2 separate regions of the Mus musculus genome follow, and region 1 is reported to be linked to region 2. The links are microRNA targets in miRTarBase. Many come from high-throughput screens and were not tested one by one. Region 2 holds a microRNA gene; the other region holds the end of a gene's coding sequence. Distances are from middle to middle.
The links. The annotated mature microRNA mmu-miR-466c-5p reads UGAUGUGUGUGUGCAUGUACAUAU and lies in region 2 at 4,581-4,604, shown strand. An mRNA with a match to its seed (bases 2 to 7 or 8) in the 3' UTR can be bound and repressed. Matches are read on the target gene's strand: a 7mer-m8 pairs with bases 2 to 8, a 7mer-A1 pairs with bases 2 to 7 and ends in A, and an 8mer does both.

Region 1 (7,580 bases), 5.9 Mb from region 2:
TCTAGAGCATCACTTTAGTGTTACTCTAGGGAAGGCTCACGTTTTTACTGTTCTTCCAGGACAGTGATAATTTACCACAGAAGCGTTAGCCCTTAGGTCTGCTGTAAAGCAAGCCCCTGGCTGTCATGTAGGAAGTCACCCCGAGGTGTACACCCCTGGCTGTCATGTAGGAAGTCACCCCGAGGTGTACAGTTCCACGGGCTTCTCAGCCTGGGCTGCATCTGAAAATCCTGTGGGACTGGGAAGGGCCCCCAAGCAAATAGCAGCAGGCCCTGACTCGGGCCTGGACGTGAGCATTTCTGAGGTTCCCACATGACCCTGAGGACGACTGTATCGAGCGTTAACTTGCATTGCCGAGGTTTCAGGAGGTCCCTTTTGTGCTACTCTTATGGTCTCTGGACGCCTTTCGTATACCAAACGTAATGGAGATTGGCAAGCCTCACCTATGTGGGGCAGGGAAGACAGCTCATCTGTAGAGAGCATGTGACTCATGCATCCTAACATTCATTCTGTAGTACTCTAACTCTGGTTCTCTCTCTCTCTCTCTCTCTCTCTCTCTCTCTCTCTCTCTCTCTCTCTCGGATCCACAGGAGCTACAGTGACAGCTGCTTCCTGGATTCCTCCCTCTATCCAGAGCTAGCTGATGTCCAATGGTACGGGCAGGAAAAAGCCAAGCCCGGGACCCTCGTGTGAGCCGGCCAGGCTGGATGTGACCACCGCCACGCCATTCCAAGTCACCTCACTGCCTCTCATTTGCCTTACCCAGATGCACTGTCACCTGCACCAGCTTCGGCCCTCAGCACTTTTCTTCTCCTGTCTCCACATCCCTTTCACCCTCAAAAACCTGACTGAGGAGACATTCTGGAAGGTTCCGAACCCACTGTGTGTCCCCTGGCTCTCTTGCCCAGAGAGCCAGACAACAATCCTCAATGGCACCTTGGTGGTTTCCGTCTGCCATGATACCCAGGCCACAAACTGTCAGGAAAGCCAACACATGCAATTCCTGTAGAAGAGAACAAGAAAAAAGCTAGCCCTGCCTGCAGATACTGAAGCTGTTTCTGGCTGCCACCCTATAGGCCGGCCGAGTGCTTCTAGAGGAGAGTGCTCAGGGGATATCAGTTTACACCTGAAATAAATCTGCCATAGTGAGACAGCCAGCAAGAGCTCCTAAGGGGACGTGTGAGAAAGAAGACTGGTGCTTCAGAGACGCATCAGAGGATCACAGTTGGTTCTATGCTGCCAAAGATTAGACACATTCAACAATGAACAGATAGGAGGGGCCAAGAGGAACACACTTTTTCTGCAGCGAAATTTCAATTCTAAACTGCTCCTACGCAGCACAAGTGAAAGTCAACCATCTTAGACCACGTCCTGTCGTGACCCTTCTCCTGGAGCACTCCTGAGAGCTGGGAACAAACCCAACGGGACAGTGAAGATGAAGGAGGCTCGGCTGGCCTGGCAGACTCGGACTCTATCTGTCTGGACATGGGAGGAGCAGGGTACCATTAGGACTGCCCTATGCAGGGGCTTCAGCCTACGCCCCCAAAGCTTCCTTCCTTTTGGGATGGGGAGGAAGCCAACGGTGACCATAGCCAAAAGCAGTTCTCTCGTTAAAACCACCAGTAAAAGTGTAACCTTTCTGTTTTGTACAAGGCCTTTCAGTTTTTGTTTTTGGGAAACCAAGGGAAAAAGCACATTGCAATCTACTCAAGTGTTTTACCGTTGTGGTTCATTTTATGTTTGTTAACACTTGTGTGCACTCGGACAGACCTCGCCTGTGTGTCGCTTAGTCAGAGAACTCACGTACGCCCTTAGGTAGGAAGACTTTTTACACACGTCTACCAGTTGGCAGGCAGAGCAGAGTTGCAACAACTCAGCTCCCAAAGGGCCCAGACCCCTCCAGCAGTATCTGTGACCTCGATACACCACCTCCGTCCACAGATACCAAGAGGATAAAAGGCAAAAAACATAAAAGCACGCGTGCAAGCTGCTTGTTTACATGTGTTTTGAGCTATGCTTAACACACAACCAAAAAGCCATCAATCTCCAAAGGCCTCAGAACCACTTCTATACTAACTAACCAGTGCACAGTCTTAGTGGGGCATGGCACTAACGATGGCACAAGAGTCTCTGTGGAGGTAGTGTGGCTTGCAGGGGTTACCTTGTCATGACTTCCTGTGGGGAAGACATCTAGGACCAGGAGCCAGGGTGGGAAGAAAGCAAATCTAAAAGTTGGCTGTGGCATCAAAAGAAAAAAACTTCCTCATGTATTTAAATCCAAGAATAACAATAGACATTACCAGACTGGGAAGGTAAGAAATGAACAGCAGAAAGGACTGACCCTCACTTTGCAGTGGCTTGGAAACCTCTGGAAGTCAAGTGGGAGCATTCATCCCATGTGGCCTGAGGCCTTTTCTCTCCCATTCAAGGCTGGGTACCCCAGAGCTGGGCATGGTTGGCGTGATGAGCCCAGCTTCCAGAAGCAGTACTCTTCCCAGACACTTGAGGGATAACCCTGTAGGGTGAGTGGGGACGGGATATGATGGTACAAAATGACCCTGGGGCTCCGTGGAGACGGGGCTACCTTTCTTGCTCCTAGTATGATAGTCGGAGCTACATAAAGCAGGTTTATTTGGGGACTATTTCTTCCTTCCTTAGCTAATGGAAATGTGACACATTGTGCCCCATTTTCTTTCTTCCAAAAGGAGATGCCTGAATAATTTGCCTGAACAGAAAACGTCCAAAAGGAAACAAAGAACAAGACAAGGTTACATGGTTACAGGTTATAACAGAGACAGCAGTTTGAAAATTGATTCTGAAGTCCTTCGGATCTATGAGAGATGCAGAAAGAATCTAAATGTAATAGATTTGGGGAGCAGAGGGAAACGGAATGGGAGCTGTGAACACCATCACGATAGTCTGGCAGTAAGGACAGAGATTTAAGTAAAACAGGTTTTACTGTTTAGCTGTGTTCGGTTAATACACTGTACATAATATAATACGCATTAGTCCTTTGAGACTGACATAATAAATGGTCGCTGTGGTTGGTGATGAACGCTCTAGGTATTGTATCCAAGCACCTGCAGATTCTTTACACATCCCTGTTTCTTTTAAGGGAGATGAAGTCCCCAGTTTAAAGCCCCTATTGGATTCGTTGGATACATGTAAGAAATTGCTTGTTTCAGCCAGAAGACTATGTTGTGAGCCAGGTTGGTTTATTTTGTTATATGCAGGTGAGTGTTGGAGTGTTCAAAGCCCAATTTGTTTTCATCCAGTATTAGTTTAGTTCTAAATATAGCAAGCCTCACCCAGGTGCTATCAGATGACCAATTACTGCTTAGTTAACTAGGTGTAAAGTTTTACATATCCATTCATGTCAATAGTTTATTACAAGTTGTGTAAAACGGACTCTAGTTTAATAATTGGGGGGGTGGTAAGATTAGGTTGCTCCTGAAACTGACTGTAGAGCATGTAAAATGATTTTACTGGATTCTGTTCAACTGTAATCAATGACAAAGATGTATGTTGTAGACAAAGTTGCAGAATTAAAAAAAAAAGGAAATCTGCTTTTAATTTATTCTTTTTGTATTAAGAATTTGTATAGTACCTTTACATTTTGCAGAACAGTGTTGTCAACACTTATTAAAGCATTTTCAAAATGAAAACACCCCAGTTGCCTCTTGGACACTTTGTTTCTAAACGATAAACATGTAACCACGCTCCAGAAATCTACATATCAAGAAGATAATGAACTTTTTTTTTTTCCATAAACATCAGCCTACCTATGGCATACCTTTTGGGTTTGGCTTGTTCTTTAAAACAGTCTCATTCTGCACAACAGCTTTAAAATCACAATCTTTTTGCCTCCAGCCCAAGTGCGGGCGCACACCACCACACACACCCAAGTACACCTGGTATTGTTGCCGTGGTAGAGAGGCCAGTTCTTTGCTATAAATCATCTACCCTCTAAATCATATCACCTGGACAATAGCCAGTTACAGTTACAAAAGTCCCCCAATTACAGCATACGGCTACTGGCATGCATTAGCAGATCACTGCAATTGTATCCCTGGCCTGTTGTCACCTGACAGACAGCTCTTTCCTAAGCATACGGCTACTGGCATGCATTAGCAGATCACTGCAATTGTATCCCTGGCCTGTTGTCACCTGACAGACAGCTCTTTCCTAAGCATACGGCTACTGGCATGCATTAGCAGATCACTGCAATTGTATCCCTGGCCTGTTGTCACCTGACAGACAGCTCTTTCCTAGCAGGAAACTGAAAGGCTAGCCTCCAGGAACACCCTACATGGAAAGCCCTTCCTGACAAGGGGCTAGAGCCTGCCAATAAGAGCAACGATGCACGAAGAAGCTGGACCTGTCTGAAAGTAAGCAGATAGAACAGTGTTTCCTACTTCCTGAACTCTGGCAACTGTCTGGGAAACTGCTTAGGGCACTATCACACTGTCCCAAAATAATCTATACTTGAAACAAAAAAGGCCTCTTGTAAACATGTTATACATAAAGATGCCAAAATGAGCCTGTGCTCTAAGATCCGTCAAAGGAAAGCAACTGGAATTTAGCTTCACTCACACACACACACACTCACACACACACACTCACACACACACACACACACACACACACACACACTCACACACACACACACACACACACACACACACACACACACACACTCACACACACACACACACACTCACACACACACACACACACACACACTCACACACACCCCTACTTCTGCCTCTCACATAATGTCAACATAATAACTCTCATTTTTATCTTGATTCCTGGAGAACACAAAGTAAACACCCTGATCCTGTAGAAAATATTAAAAATATTCAGTCCCTGACTTCCCAGAATAACTGTTAAAAGACACACAAAACTCTCCCCAGAGTGTACAGATCCACTTGAAGGCTGTGAGCAGCCAGTGGCCTCTGTCAAGGCCCTGCACACTTGGTACAGAATCCGTGTGCTCAGTCTTAGGTGCTTGTGAATCAGAAAAAGCAGCACAGGATAGAGATTTAAAGGGTGAGGAACTCTAGCAGCATTAAACTGGGAGGAGCTTAAGCCAATTCCCAAGGACACTAACATACAGGGGCTCTCACTCAGACCTTGCGCAAGGAGTTGGCCTCTCTGAGATGACAGCCACTGAGGTATAATATATAACTGCCTGGTTTACACTAAGTCACACTGCCAGCAAAGTCACTTCTATTCAGCCAAGGCAATAGTGTAGATAATAATTGGTATTCTAGAATAATTGGTGTACACGCACATGCACGCACATGGGTGTTTTTTATTCTTCGTAGAAGCACATTTTATAAGATGTTATCCTTATAAGCCAGTAGTAGGTTACTTTTGCTTCTCTTTCTGGTACCCATTTTCCCTAAAACTCACTCCAGTCATGCACTCCTCCCCTCCGCTTCACCTAGCCGAGTCATCAAGATGGACGCCTTGTGATGCCAACAGCTCCCTTTTGTCATTTTATGCAGCTTACCATCAGGCACTGAATGTAGACAGTGTTCCTTACTCTACTGAGATAACTTCTTCACACCACTATGTTTGTTTGGACTCTCTTACTCTTGGCTCCCTGTATTTTCTCATCACTATTATAAAGTACCTGAGAGAAACCACCTCAGGGAAGGTTTTATTTGACTCTGGTTTAGCAGGCAAAGGGTAGTACCAGGTCCTTGCAAGTAAACGTACCCTGATTCTTGGCTGACCAGAACACAAAACGCAAAACTGGAACAAGAGGCACATATAAACTTCAAAGATCACTCCCTAGTGAACTACTTATATCACAAAGGCCCCACATCCCAAAGATCCCACAGAGCATAGCCATCTAGGGACCACGTGTTCAAACACACAAGCCTCCTGAGAACATTTCCGATTCCAACCATAACACACTGCTCTCCTGGTTTGCTGTGTCACCTTTCTGCTGGCGACACCAGCACTTTCCATCCATTCTGGGGCTCTTCTTTCAATCTGTACTTCCTATTGCCTCTTCAACAGCGAGATGTCAAAAACCTAACTCTTGATTTCCCCCTCCAAACATGCTCCAATGGCCACCCTCAACTTAGAGGAAGTGCCATCTTCCTAGGGCTCAGGTCAAAGATCTTGTAATTATCCCTGATGGCTCTTTTTCTTCCCACATCTGCAGTAAACAAAACAGATATGAATGTCCATCCTTGTGAGATTTATACTGCATTGTGGGAAAGAGGAAGAAAATAAAAACTGAATCATTTACCAGAGAGGGGCAGGAAAGCAGGCACAGTAGAAGATTTAGCCCGAGACGGAAAGAGTAATGCCATTTCCACCACGTCTGCTAAGGAAGAATGCTGGTACACTTACAGTGCTTAAGAGTGCTTCCAAATTCAACTAGTGTGAGAATAAGGTTAAGGCCACAGCTACATGAGACAGGAAAAGGGGAGTCAGGATGCAGCAACCTCAAAGCTTCATACAAGAGTCCCAGAATCAGAGAGAGACTGCTCACAGGAGTAGGAAGTGCTCTTCTGCCTTCACTAATGTGCATAGGCGTGCAAGCTCCCACACACGTGAGCTTACGTCACAGACACACAAATACAAATGAACGAATACGTAACGAAACACTAGGATTTTACAGAAAGTGCAAAAATTCAGTTCCCTTCTCTGAAATCCCATGCTTGTAGGAATGCCACTATGATGACACCGTTAAAGAAAGAGAAAAAAAGTTTCATTAAAATTGGCATACAGGCTGGGATGAGTCAGTGATTAAGAGCGCTTGGTGCTCTTACAAAGGACCCAGATTCACTTCCCAGCACCCACGCAGCAACTCAAACCATCTGTACCTCTACTTCCCTGGGATCAGATACTGTTCTGACTTCCATAAGCACTGCCCAAGTGCAGTAAGCTTAACTACATGCTGGAAAAATACTCATGGACATAAAAATAAGTCTATAAATGTTTTTAAAAGATTACCAAATGAAATGATTTTTTAATGGGGTCCCTACTCAAAGATAGCTGAAAAGATTATATCAATATCCAAGCTGGGCATGAGATTTGTTCCTTCCCATTAACAATTAGCACAACAATTGGCCTCAGCCATAGTACAACATCTATGTCCATAAGAATGTATACATAAGTATAAACTAGCAAGAGGGGCTGGAGAGATGGCTCAGTGGTTAAGGGCATTGACTACTCTTCCAGAGGTCCTGAGTTCAATTTTCAGCAACCACATGGTGGCTCACAACTGTCTGTAATTGGATCCAATGCCCTCTTCTGGTGTATCTGAGGACAGCTATAGTGTACTCATATACATAAAATAAATAATTCTTTAATAAAAATTAAATAAATTCAATTTTTAAATGAATTTAAAAATTCATTTAAGCAAGAAAATGTACAAAACTCAACAGGAGACAACAGGCATGAAGTCTGTCTTGATTAGAGCCTTCCTAAAAGGAAATGTACAGTAGAGGTGTTTCAACTGGGTTATCATCGGGTGAACACAAACTAAGTCCACAATGTAACCCTGCTAAAGCAAAGGTTTCAGAAGACACTTCAAATATGAGCAGATGTAGACA
Region 2 (7,196 bases):
GCATTCGCCAATCCCTTTGAATGATAAGTGATGTAGAGTTTTAGAGATTATGCAATAGGGGGCATTGAATGGCCTCACTCACCAGGTGTAAAAGATTGACAAAGTCAGGAGGATAAGGATTGCAAATTCATGCTTAACTTCATTTGGAGACATCTTGGTATTAATGTCATGCAACCCATTTATGTGCATGTGTGCTTACTTGTATGTGCATTGTATGTGTTGACATGATATACATAACATAAACACACGTGTATCTGCAAGCACACACACACAGGAAAAATTGCATTCATTTATACGTTTGAATGATATGTGACTTAAAGTTTTCAAGATTATGCAGTAGTGGGACAGTGAATGGTTTTACTCACCAGGTGTGAAAGATTGTGGATCAGGAGTTCAAATGCATGCTTTACTACATGATGACTTAGAGATATGCCTGGGATTCATGTGATGCCCCCTATGTATCCCTATCTGTATCTGTTTCTATTGTGTGTGGATTTGAGTATATGGATGTACCTATCTACACAAATATATACATGTACACAGACACAAACAGAAACACACACACAAACATCAGTGCAACTCATCGATCCATTTGAATGACGTGTGACTTAGAGTTTTAAGATTCCTCAGTACTGAATGGGGAGAGGTCTCACTCAGCAGGTGAAATCCCTTGACAGAGTCAGTTGGATCAGGAGTTCAAATTCGTGCTGAATTTCATGATGAGTTCATGACCAGCATGGGATTCATCTTATGCCCACCAAAAATGTGCATGTGTGTATAGTTGTGTGCATATTCACTTCTCTATATGAATATGCATATACACACATGCACACACATTCATAGGAATGGCCAGAGCTATGTCTCAGTTAGGAGGTGAGCACTCTTGCCAGTGTCAGGAGGATGAGGAGTTCAAAATCATGTTTAACTTCATGATGAGTTAGAGTTCAGCATGCGATTCATGTGATGTCCACCAAGAATGTGCATGTGTGTATAGTTGTGTACATATTCACTTTTGTATATGAATATGCATATACTCACATGCAAACATACTCCCACGAATGGCCCGAGCTATGACTCAGTTAGGAGGTGAATACTCTTGCCAGCATCATGAGGATGAGCAGTTCAAATTCATGTTTAACTTTTTGATGAGTTAGAGATCAGCCCGGAATTCATGAGATTTTCCCTGTGTTTGTGTTTATGTGTATAGGGAAGTATGCCTGTACATGCACGTATATGAACATGCATATATATATATATATATATATATATATACATACATATATATATATATACACACACACACAACTAGGGACACATACATGTGCACACAAACACACATGGCAGTCATCCATTTGATTTATACGTGCTTAGAGTTTCATTGAGTTTATATTCATGGTATAGGGAAAAATCTCACTTATCAAATGAAAACTGTTTGCCAGAGTTAGGAGTCTCAGGAGGTCAAATTCATGCTTAACTTCATGATGAGTTAGAGATCACCCTGGATTTGTGGGATCGACCCTAGTTATGTACATTTGCATATAATTGTGTGTGCACGTACATGTGTATATATGATCATCCCTGTAAATACACACACATACAAATGTATTCACACATACAGGCATGCACACTCACACACATAAGAATGACACTCATTGATCCATTTGAATGATATATGTCTTAGAATTTTGCTGATTATAAAGTAGAGGGACAGTGAATATTCTCTCTCACCAGGTGTAAACAATTGGCAGTGTCAGGAAGATCAGGAGTTCAATTTTATGCTTAACTTCATGAGCAGTTAGAGATCATCCTGGAATAATGTGATGGCCCCTATGTATGTGCCTGTGTGCGTAAGTGCCTGCATGTATATGCGTGTATATTTTATGCATATACATACACACACCTACACACACATGCACACAGACATGCGGGAATGGCACTCACGGATCCATTTGAATGATATGTGACCTACTGCTTTGGAGGTTATGTATGACTGGGCCAGGGTGAGGTCTCACAAACCACGGGAAACCCTTGGTAGAGTCGGGAAGATCAGGAGTGCAAGTTCATGGTAAAGGCATGATGTGTTAGAGGTCATCCTGGCATTCATGTGATTGCCCCTATGTATGTGTGTATGTGTTGATGTGTGTGTACATGTACATATGTGAATATGATATACATATACATACACGCACACATAAGACACATATGAGCACACAGACACATGGGAATGGCACTCATCAATCCATTTGAGTGATAAGTGACTTAGAGTGAAAATGCTTGCTAGAGTTAAGGGTATCAGGAGTTCAAATTCATACTTATCCTCATGAGAGATCAGCCTGTGATTCCTCCATGTATGTGCATGTGTGTATAGTTGTGTGTGCATGTTCATGTCTATATTTGAATATACATAACATACACACACACGTATAAACGCAAGCACACATACACAGACACAGGAATGGCATTCGCCAATCCCTTTGAATGATAAGTGATGTAGAGTTTTAGCGATTATGCAATAGGGGACATTGAATGGTCTCACCCACCAGGTGTAAAAGATTGACAAAGTCAGGAGGATAAGGATTGCAAATTCATGCTTAATTCAGTTAGAGATCATCCTGGTATTCATGTGAGGCCACCCATGTATGTGCATGTGTGTTTACTTGTATATGCATTGCCTCTGTTGACATGATATACAAAATATAAACACACGTGTATATGCAAGTACAGACACAGAGAAAAAAATTGCATTCATTTATACGTTTGAATGATATGTGACTTAAAGTTTTAGATTATGCAGTTTGGGACAGTGAATGGTTTTACTCACCAGGTGTGAAAGATTGTGGATCAGGAGTTCAAATTCATGCTTTACTTCATGATGACTTTAAGATATGCCTGGGATTCATGTGATGCCCCTATGTATCCCTATCTGTATCTGTTTCTATTGTGTGTGGATTTGAGTATATGGATGTACCTATCTACACAAATATATACATGTACACAGACACAAACAGAAACACACACACAAACATCAGTGCAACTCATCGATCCATTTGAATGACGTGTGACTTAGAGTTTTAAGATTCCTCAGTACTGAATGGGGAGAGGTCTCACTCAGCAGGTGAAATCCCTTGACAGAGTCAGGTGGATCAGGAGTTCAAATTTGTGCTGAATTTCATGATGAGTTCATGACCAGCATGGGATTCATCTTATGCCCATCAAAAATTTGCATGTGTGTATAGTTGTGTGCATATTCACTTCTCTATATGAATATGCATATACACACATGCACACACATTCATAGGAATGGCCAGAGCTATGTCTCAGTTAGGAGGTGAGTACTCTTGCCAGTGTCAGGAGGATGAGGAATTCAAATTTATGTTTAACTTCATGATGAGTTAGAGTTCAGTATGCGATTCATGTGATGCCCACCAAGAATGTGCATGTGTGTATAGTTGTGTATATATTCACTTCTGTATATGAATATGCATATACTCACATGCAAACATATTCCCACGAATGGCCCGAGCTATGACTCAGTTAGGAGGTGAATACTCTTGCCAGCATCATGAGGATGAGTAGTTCAAATTCATGTTTAACTTTATGATGAGTTAGAGATCAGCCCGGAATTCATGTGATTTTCCCTGTGTTTGTGTTTATGTGTATAGGGAAGTATGCCTGTACATGCGCGTATATGAACATGCATATATATATATGTATATATATGTATATATGTATACACACACACACACACAACTAGGGACACATACATGTGCACACAAACACACATGGCAGTCATCCATTTGATTTATGCGTGCTTTGAGTTTCATTGAGTGTATATTCATGGTATAGGGAAAAATCTCACTTATCAAATGAAAACCACTTGCCAGAGTTAGGAGTCTCAGGAGTTCAAATTCATGCTTAACTTCATAATGAGTTAGAGATCACCCTGTATTTGTGTGATGGATCCTAGGTATGCAAAAGTGCATATAATTGTGTGTGCACGTACATGTGTGTATATGATCATACATATAAATACACACACATATAAAATGTATTCACACACACAGGCATGCACACTCACACACATAAGAATGACACTCATTGATCCATTTGAATGATATATGTCTTAGAATTTTGCTGATTATAAAGTAGAGGGATAGTGAAGGTCTCACTCACCAGGTGTAAACAATTGGCAGTGTCAGGAGGATCAGGAGTTCAATTTCATGCTTAACTTCATGAGCAGTTAGAGATCATCCTGGAATAATGTGATGGCCCCTTTGTATGTGCCCGTGTGCGTAAGTGCCTGCATGTATATGCGTGTATATTTTATGCATATACATACACACACCAACACACACATGCACACAGACATGCGGGAATGTCCCTCACGGATCCATTTGAATGATATGTGACCTACTGCTTTGGAGGTTATGTATGACTGGGCCAGGGTGAGGTCTCACAAACCACGGGAAAACCCTTGATAGAGTCAGGAAGATCAGGAGTGCAAGTTCATGGTAAAGGCATGATGAGTTAGAGGTCATCCTGGCATTCATGTGATTGCCCCTATGTATGTGTATATGTGTTGATGTGTGTGTGCATGTACATATGTGAATATGATATACATATACATACACGCACACATAAGACACATATGAGCACACAGACACAGGGGAATGGCACTCATCAATCCATTTGAGTGATAAGTGACTTAGAGTGAAAATGCTTGCTAGAGTTAAGAGTATCAGGAGTTCAAATTTACACTTATCCTCATGAGAGATCAGCCTGTGATTCCTCCATGTATGTGCATGTGTGTATAGTTGTGTGTGCATGTTCATGTCTATATTTGAATATACATAACATACACACACACGTATAAACGCAAGCACACATACACAGACACAGGAATGGCATTCGCCAATCCCTTAGAATGATAAGTGATGTAGAGTTTTAGAGATTATGCAATAGGGGACATTGAATGACCTCACCCACCAGGTGTAAAAGATTGACAAAGTCAGGAGGATAAGGATTGCAAATTCATGCTTAATTCAGTTAGAGGTCATCCTGGTATTCATATGAGGCCACCCATGTATGTGCATGTGTGTTTACTTGTATATGCATTGCCTCTGTTGACATGATATTCAAAATATAAACACACGTGTATATGCAAGTACAGACACAGAGAAAAAAATTGCATTCATTTATACGTTTGAATGATATGTGACTTAAAGTTTTAGATTATGCAGTTTGGGACAGTGAATGGTTTTACTCACCAGGTGTGACAGATTGTGGATCAGGAGTTCAAATTCATGCTTTACTTCATGATGACTTTAAGATATGCCTGGGATTCATGTGATGCCCCCTATGTATCTCTATCTGTATCTGTTTCTATTGTGTGTGGATTTGAGTATATGGATGTACCTATCTACACAAATATATACATGTACACAGACACAAACAGAAACACACACACAAACATCAGTGCAACTCATCGATCCATTTGAATGACGTGTGACTTAGAGTTTTAAGATTCCTCAGTACTGAATGGGGAGAGGTCTCACTCAGCAGGTGAAGTCCCTTCACAGAGTCAGGTTGATCAGGAGTTCAAATTTGTGCTGAATTTCATGATGAGTTCATGACCAGCATGGGATTCATCTTATGCCCACCAAAAATTTGCATGTGTGTATAGTTGTGTGCATATTCACTTCTCTATATGAATATGCATATACACACATGCACACACATTCATAGGAATGGCCAGAGCTATGTCTCAGTTAGGAGGTGAGTACTCTTGCCAGTGTCAGGAGGATGAGGAATTCAAATTTATGTTTAACTTCATGATGAGTTAGAGTTCAGTATGCGATTCATGTGATGCCCACCAGAATGTGCATGTGTGTATAGTTGTGTACATATTCACTTCTGTATATGAATATGCATATACTCACATGCAAACATACTCCCTCGAATGGCCTGAGCTATGACACAGTTAGGAGGTGAATACTCTTGCCAGCATCATGAGGATGAGTAGTTCAAATTCATGTTTAACTTTATGATGAGTTAGAGATCAGCCCGGAATTCATGTGATTTTCCCTGTGTTTGTGTTTATGTGTATAGGGAAGTATGCCTGTACATGCGCGTATATGAACATGCATATATATATATATATATATATATGTATACACACCCACACAACTAGGGACACATACATGTGCACACAAACACACATGGCAGTCATCCATTTGATTTATACGTGCTTATAATTTCATTGAGTGTATATTCATGGTATAGGGAATAATCTCACTTATCAGATGAAAACCACTTGCCAGAGTTAGGAGTCTCAGGAGTTCAAATTCATGCTTAACTTCATAATGAGTTAGAGATCACCCTGTATTTGTGTGATGGATCCTAGGTATGCACAAGTGCATATAATTGTGTGTGCACGTACATGTGTGTATATGATCATACATATAAATACACACACATACAAATGTATTCACACACACAGGCGTGCACACTCACACACATAAGAATGACACTCATTGATCCATTTGAATGATATATGTCTTAGAATTTTGCTGATTATAAAGTAGAGGGACAGTGAAGGTCTCACTCACCAGGTGTAAATAATTGGCAGTGTCAGGAGGATCAGGAGTTCAATTTCATGCTTAACTTCATGAGCAGTTAGAGATCATCCTGGAATAATGTGATGGCCCCTATGTATGTGCCCGTGTGCGTAAGTGCCTGCATGTATATGCGTGTATATTTTATGCATATACATACACACACCTACACACACATGCACACAGACATGCGGAAATGGCCTTCACGGATCCATTTGAATGATATGTGACCTACTGCTTTGGAGGTTATGTATGACTGGGCCAGGGTGAGGTCTCACAAACCACGGGAAAACCCTTGGTAGAGTCGGGAAGATCAGGAGTGCAAGTTCATAGTAAAGGCATGATGAGTTAGAGGTCATCCTGGCATTCATGTGATTGCCCCTACGTATGTGTATATGTGTTGATGTGTGTGTGCATGTACATATGTGAATATGATATACATATACATACACGCACACATAAGACACATATGAGCACACAGACACAGGGGAATGGCACTCGTCAATCCATTTGAATGATAAGTGACTTAGAGTGAAAATGCTTGCTAGAGTTAAGAGTATCAGGAGTTCAAATTTACACTTA

Region 1: the mRNA of Frmd4a is a reported target of mmu-miR-466c-5p. Seed matches in the 3' UTR shown: 7mer-m8 at 3,094-3,100.

The regions. Positions count from the first base shown.
Region 1 is chr2:4,610,377-4,617,956 of GRCm38, forward strand. It overlaps Frmd4a (FERM domain containing 4A), which reads left to right. Exons shown (of 23, transcript NM_172475.3): 23 at 591-3,667. The coding sequence ends at 693. Among named protein-coding and RNA genes, the nearest start is that of Gm13179, 20 kb to the left of the region's middle.
Region 2 is chr2:10,476,964-10,484,159 of GRCm38, forward strand. It overlaps Mir466c-1 (microRNA 466c-1), which reads left to right and starts at 4,571; the gene lies at 4,571-4,654. All of the region lies in intron 10 of Sfmbt2 (Scm-like with four mbt domains 2), which reads left to right. It overlaps Mir669g (microRNA 669g), which reads left to right and starts at 187; the gene lies at 187-309. It overlaps Mir669j (microRNA 669j), which reads left to right and starts at 947; the gene lies at 947-1,067. It also overlaps Mir467a-2, Mir466e, Mir669a-4, Mir467b, Mir669a-5 and Mir467a-3, and 1 more gene.